2 linked regions of the Canis lupus familiaris genome follow. The main gene of each other region encodes a partner of the protein of the gene in region 2 in a complex. Links are inferred from orthologs where the notes say so. Each region holds a gene or a part of one and is shown on either strand. Other genes may lie near its edges.

Region 1 (4,138 bases), on a different chromosome or scaffold from region 2:
CCTGGGCAGTCCCTGTCAAGTCTTCACCCAGAAAGGAGGGGCCCAGCTGGCTTCTGAGGTCCTTCTGCGACGGCCCAGCCCGCAGAGGAAGGAAGGTCCCCATCAGGAGTCCCGGGAGGGCCCTTGCAAGGAGCCAGGCCGCACGTCTACCCCCCCCACCCGCCGCTGCAGGTGCAAGTGACCCCTGCCCCCAGCCCCCAGCCCCCAGCCCCCAGCCCGCGGGTCTGCTGCCTGCCGGCCTTCCGGGGCCCGCTCCCCGCTGCTCCCCGCTGCTCCCCACCCCCCAAGCTTCGCACTCGGGACTCCTCGTGGCAGACGACTCAGCCCCCGTGGGAGGGCCAGGCGCCCCCTCCCCCCCCCGCCGCAGGGGAGCCTGCCTTACCCGCGCTGCCCTCCGGCTCGCCGACCGCGGGGATCGCGGCGCCTGCCAAGGTCCTGCCGCCGGGCCGGGCCCGCCCCGGGGTCGCCGTCCCGAGCAGAGGCGGCCGCAGCGCCCGGGGCCAGACACCTGCGGGGAGAGCCGGCCGTCCTCGCGCTGTCCCCGCCCGCCCACCCCGCTCCCCGCGGGCCCCGGGCAGCTCCCGCCCGCACCCCCACGCCCGCCGCGGTCCCCGGGGCCCCTCCGCGCGCACTCACCCGCGCCGAGCAGCCGGGGCGCGGTCGCGGCGGGAGCCATGGCGCGGAGGACGACCCGGCGGGGACACGCTCTCGGGCCGCGCTGCTTCCGCCCCCGCCGGCGCCCCCGCCGCAGCGCCGCCTGCCGGCCCGGAGGTGCCCCTGCGCGCCCCGCCCCTGCGCGCCCACAGCCCTCGGCCCCGCCCCTGCGCGCCCCGCCCCGCCCCCGCCGCTCGGCCCCGCCCCGCCCCCGTCCGCGCGCGCCGCGAGCCCCACTTCGGCCCGCCGCTGGCCGGGAGTCACCGGGGCGCGCCCCCCGCCCTGCCCCCGGCTCGGCCCCGCAGCCCGCACGAGTCCCGGCCCCGGGGCGCCCTCCTCACCTCCGGCCGGTCTAGCACAACCTGCCGCTCTCCCCAGGAGCATCCCGGAGGACCAGGCGCAGGTGGAGTCTGCCCTGAACCTCCGGGCGCCGGGCGGCCGTGCGGAGCTGGGCGTGGGCTTCCCGCTCCCCCGGCCTGAGCCGGCCCGGGGGCAGATCCGCGCTCGCCACCCCACCGCGAGGAGCCGCCACGGTCGCCGGCCTCCGGGAGCGCGGCGCCTTCGGGGCGGGGCCGCCCGGGCAGCTGACCCGGCCGTCGCCTGGCAACGGGACGCCGCGCCGCCTCTCGCGGCCTCCCACCCGCCGCAGCGCGGGAGCCCAGGCGCATGTCGGAGCCGAGCCCCCGAGAGTGCGCGGCGGCCGAGGAGCCCCCCGCCCCCGCGGGGCCCCCGCCGAGGACCAGCGACTACTACTGCGTGGACGAGAACCTGCCCGTCAGGTTCAACAACCCGGCGTGGTTCCGGGGCTACGGGTGAGGACGGATCGGGTCGGGGGCCACCGGGCCAGCGCCGGGCCTGGAGGGGGCGGGGGGCTCCCCAGTCCCCAGCCCGCCCTGCAGCCCAGGTCAACGGACTTGCCCGCGGTTAGCACCCAGGGAGCGAGGAAGTGCCGCCCGAAGCTGCAGACCCGCCTGCGGGGGTGCTCGGGTCACTGCAGGAGGGGCGGGGTGGCCAGGCAGCCGCACCCAGCCGCACGCCTCTCCAGCTGAGCGCAGTCTCTGCAGAATCCGAATCCCGCAACCACCACCCCACCCCCCCGTAGCTGTTCTTGCAAAGCCTTAGACCCAAGTAGTAGAACACCCGCCACCACACCTGCCCTGCCCTCCCTCACCTAGTCTCCTCTGCAGGCCGGTAGACCAGATCTGTTAGTATTCTTGCTTTCCAGGAGAGACTGCTGAGGGTGGAAGCATAGCATCCTGCCCCAGATCTGGTGGCATAAGGCACGGCTGACATCCCAACCACAGCCTGGGCTTTAGAGACTGTAGGCATGTTTTCTGCCCAGGGCTCTGAAAGTGAAGGGACCCTCCCACCCTGGGGTGGCAGGGTGTGGAGGCTGAGCCCTGGGTCCTGACCTACCCATCTTCCCCGGGAAATGACGGTATGTGCCAAGCCTCCACCCCGGTTGAGGTCTGCATTTGCCCTCCAGGAGTTCTTTTTTTTTTTTTAATTTTTATTTATTTATGATAGTCTCACACACACACACACACACACACACACACACAGAGAGAGAGAGGCAGAGACACAGGCAGAGGAAGAAGCAGGCTCCATGCACCAGGAGCCCGATGTGGGATTTGATCCCGGGTCTCCAGGATCGTGCCCTGGGCCAAAGGCAGGCGCCAAACCGCTGCGCCACCCAGGGATCCCCCTCCGGGAGTTCTTTAGGGCTTTGGCCTCCCTTGGGGAAGAGCCAGGGTGGAAGTGAGCCGAGGAGGCAGGGAGGCTCATCGTGCCTCCCGCGGCACCCCACCTTCGGAGCCTCAGCACCAACCTGTGGCATTCCCAACAGAGCGCCACCAAGTGAATATTCTAAGACTACAGGCTTGGGCAGAATTGGAGTAACTGTTTCTCATCTGCCAGGACCAAGGAGCCTGTCTCCATGTACAGGACCAGTAACCAAGCTTACGGGAGCAGGGCCCCCACCGTGCATGAGATGCCGGTAAGCCAAGCTTGGAAGCACCTGTGTGTCATTGGAACATCTCCAGGAGGAGGCTGTGACCCTGGATTTCTCATGAGGGGCGGTGGGGAAGGGCCCAGATTTCCAACCTCACAAAACTGGAGGTGGCACATCAAGTCCTTTCCAGACAGAGCAGAGCGGAAATGAGTGAGTGAGCAAACTTAGCGATGGAATGTGTCAAAGATGGAAAAGGTGTGTGTAGACTGGCTTGAGACGTCCCACCCCCTCTGTCATCTTAAGGCCATGAGTTTTGAGGCAGACAAGTGAACAGTTGCTTTCTTTCTGGAATAATACTTGATTTTAATGAACTTGTGGCCTAAAGAGACAGGACGGGCCAAAATCACAGGTGGCAGGAGGACAAGGCATCCTCTTGGCGGACAAGGCATCCATCCCCACGTGGCTGGATGTGGGGATCTGTGCACCTTTGGGGAATCCTCACCCCCTTCTGGAGGTTGATGTCACAGTCTGGAGCTCTAGAACCCCCTTCTGAAGCCCCCTGGTGTCTCTCTTGGGCCCAGGTGAAGGGCCAGGCTGACCAGCGTAAGCATTCCCTGGATAACTCAGGACAGCAGGGCCACCCACTTTGGGCTGATGATGCTGTTGTTTCTTTTGAAATACTCATCATTTAGAGATCTGGCCAAGTTGCTCATTTGCTTGTTTCACATGGGAGATACAGCCCTTGTGAGGAGATTATTTATCTAGAAAGTTTCTAAAGCATTTAAGGGTCACTCACCCAGAATCAAAATGATTCCACATTTTTCCCAGGATCAGGTATTAACATGAAAAATACCAGCACACTCAACTCACTAACATGGGTCCAAATGTTTTACTTTTAGAAACAAGACCATTGAAAAAAAAAGTTTCCTAATTTTTTTTTAAATTGTGGGGGTTTGCCCCTCGCTGGTCTTAGCAGGTGATGGGCCGTGAAGCACTAGATGCTCTGCAGGCAGGGTCGGAAGGAGGTTCTTCCTGCTGCTAATTGACGGGCTTTACCTGCAGACTCAGGTCAGGATACCGAAAAGCGGGCTGCAGCTAAAGCTGGTCAGTAAGCAGCAGGAAGAACCTCCTTCTGACCTACAATCTTTTTTTAAAAAAAAAAGAAAGAAAAGAAAGAAATGCACTGAAGACATTTATTTTTGCTCCTGCCTCCTGCCAAGCAAAAAGAGTATCAGGTGATCTTGACACGAGGAGAGCTGAAGAGCGGGTCCACCTGTCCAGGGTAAAACACCTAGCCCTGGCCCTGTATGTCAGAAATCTCAGGGTCTCCCCAATGACGCTGTGCTGCTGGTCCAATCACCACCCTGGGTGCCTGCGCACACGTGCATGGACTCGGCTGTGCTCCCCACCGTGCCCTCACCTCACTAGGGCAGCGCCTCCCCATGCCCCTGGGCTGGTGGGGTGTGGGCATCAGAGGCATCTTAGAGCTCTACAAGGGATCTGAGTGTGCAGTCGGGGTTGAAACCCACGGAT
Region 2 (2,203 bases):
TTTTTCATTTCAAATGCAAAATTGAAATGTAATAGAGTGAGGTGAACTACTCCTTTACAGTTTTTTTTTTTAATTCAATTGAAACATGAACTACTTGGGTATTGTTTTATAAATGTTAATGCAGATATTTTTAATTAAGATGCTTAGGAAGTCTAGGAAGGTCTACATGTATTTAAAAGCATTTCTTAAAAAAAAAATAAAAGCATTTCTTAAAAAATAAAAATAAAAATAAATAAAAAAATTAAAAACATTTCTTGTCAAAATAAGATCTATATTGTTGGAGTTGTATGAAAAGTGGAAATCTGTGTACTTATGATGATATAGCAAAGAGCAGTAATAGGTTTTCTCTATTCCTTTTTTCTAACAGGCTGACCAGTGCACGGGTCTTCAGGGCTTCTTGGTTTTCCACAGCTTTGGAGGGGGAACCGGTTCTGGGTTCACCTCCCTGCTGATGGAACGTCTCTCTGTCGATTATGGCAAGAAGTCCAAGCTAGAGTTCTCCATCTACCCTGCCCCCCAGGTGTCCACAGCTGTAGTAGAGCCCTACAACTCCATCCTCACCACCCACACCACCCTGGAGCACTCTGATTGTGCCTTCATGGTAGACAATGAGGCCATCTATGACATCTGTCGTAGAAACCTCGATATTGAGCGCCCAACCTACACTAATCTAAACAGGTTGATAGGTCAAATTGTGTCCTCCATCACTGCTTCCCTCAGATTTGATGGAGCCCTGAATGTGGATCTGACGGAGTTCCAGACCAACCTGGTGCCCTATCCCCGCATCCACTTCCCTCTGGCCACATATGCCCCTGTCATCTCTGCTGAGAAAGCCTACCATGAACAGCTTTCTGTAGCAGAGATCACCAATGCATGCTTTGAGCCAGCCAACCAGATGGTGAAATGTGACCCTCGCCATGGTAAATACATGGCTTGCTGCCTGTTGTACCGTGGTGATGTGGTTCCCAAAGATGTCAATGCTGCCATTGCCACCATCAAGACCAAGCGTACCATCCAGTTTGTGGACTGGTGCCCCACTGGCTTCAAAGTGGGCATTAACTACCAGCCTCCCACTGTGGTACCCGGTGGAGACCTGGCCAAAGTACAGCGAGCTGTGTGCATGCTGAGCAACACCACAGCCATTGCTGAGGCCTGGGCTCGCCTGGACCACAAGTTTGACCTGATGTATGCCAAGCGTGCCTTTGTTCACTGGTATGTGGGTGAGGGCATGGAGGAAGGAGAGTTTTCTGAGGCCCGTGAGGACATGGCTGCCCTGGAGAAGGATTATGAGGAGGTTGGTGTGGATTCTGTTGAAGGAGAGGGTGAAGAAGAAGGAGAGGAATACTAAAGTTAAAAATGTCACAAAGGTGCTGCTTTTACAGGGAAGCTTATTCTGTTTTGAACATTGAAAAGTGCTCTGATCAGTTAATTTGTATGTAGCAGTGTATACTCTCATATATAATTACTGACCTATGCTTTAAAACACGACGCTTTGTTACAGACTCAAGCTGTCCATTTCTCTGATGGGTTTGAATAAAGTATTCCCTGTCTTAAATGAATTTAGTTTTGTGTTTTCTATTTGGGTGTCTGAAATTCATGTACTTAGTTCTGAGAAAAAAGAATAACCGTTCACTCTATCTTATACATGTACTACGACTTATTTTAAAATTTACTATATTATAAAACTTAATCATAAAATACAAAATAGCGACAAATTACCACTAGATAACATCCATGCTCTTCTTAAATTTTAACTCCATTATATGCTAATACTTTTTAGAATTGATATCCACTAATACACAAAGGTCTGGTTGCTTTGTTAGTCTCATGACTAACAAAACGGTGAATACACAGGACACCTGGGTGGCTCAGCGGTTAAGCGCATTTGCCTTCAGCTCAGAGCATGGTCTTGGAGTACTGGGATCGAGTCCCACATCGGGTTCCCTGAATGGAGTCTGCTTCTCCCTCTGCCTACATCTCTGTGTTTCATGAATAAATAAATAAAATAGTTTTAAAAACGGTGAATATTCCAAACGCATTTATCAGGTCTTAAGCATATTTTTATGCATTCTCATCTTGGCATGTGTCTAGTGCTATAATGTTTCCTCTACCCTGGGTTCTCGAAGTCTGCTCTTCAAGCAATTGCTCCCTAGTTCTTTACTTTCCAAATTATTTTCAGTTAAATGTCATAATAGAAACCCTG

The links. Proteins that work in one complex are often made in the same cells at the same time.
Region 1: the proteins of tubulin alpha-1A chain (region 2) and C9H9orf116 are in contact, whole or in part, in a cryo-EM structure (PDB 7UNG), measured with the Homo sapiens proteins. The link is inferred for Canis lupus familiaris from reciprocal best matches to the Homo sapiens genes TUBA1A and PIERCE1. Residues at the interface, in NP_001257328.1 of Homo sapiens: Met1, Arg2, Gln15, Asn18, Ala19, Glu22, Cys25, Leu26, Glu27, His28, Gly29, Ile30, Gln31, Pro32, Asp33, Met36, Pro37, Asp39, Lys40, Asp46, Asp47, Ser48, Asn50, Glu77, Gly81, Thr82, Tyr83, Tyr224, Thr225, Asn228; in NP_001041730.1 of Homo sapiens: Tyr28, Pro35, Gly36, Arg37, Phe38, Trp43, Phe44, Arg45, Gly46, Tyr47, Arg48, Thr58, Ser59, Asn60, Gln61, Ala62, Tyr63, Gly64, Arg66, His71, Glu72, Pro74, Phe77, Tyr78, Pro79, Asn80, Ser81, Asn82, Lys83.

Annotation. Positions count from the first base shown.
Region 1 is NC_049230.1:51,281,022-51,285,159, reverse strand, and holds the start of C9H9orf116 (UPF0691 protein C9orf116 homolog), read left to right. Parts: upstream 1-1,303; 5' UTR 1,304-1,320; coding exon 1,321-1,466; intron 1,467-2,571; coding exon 2,572-2,650; intron 2,651-4,138. Other genes in the region: MRPS2 (28S ribosomal protein S2, mitochondrial), read right to left, coding at 383-508, 637-676. UniProt on the Homo sapiens protein: Microtubule inner protein involved in the attachment of outer dynein arms (ODAs) to dynein-decorated doublet microtubules (DMTs) in cilia axoneme, which is required for motile cilia beating.
Region 2 is NC_049248.1:41,237,126-41,239,328, reverse strand, and holds the end of tubulin alpha-1A chain, read left to right. Parts: intron 1-367; coding exon 368-1,348; 3' UTR 1,349-1,559; downstream 1,560-2,203. UniProt on the Homo sapiens protein: Tubulin is the major constituent of microtubules, a cylinder consisting of laterally associated linear protofilaments composed of alpha- and beta-tubulin heterodimers.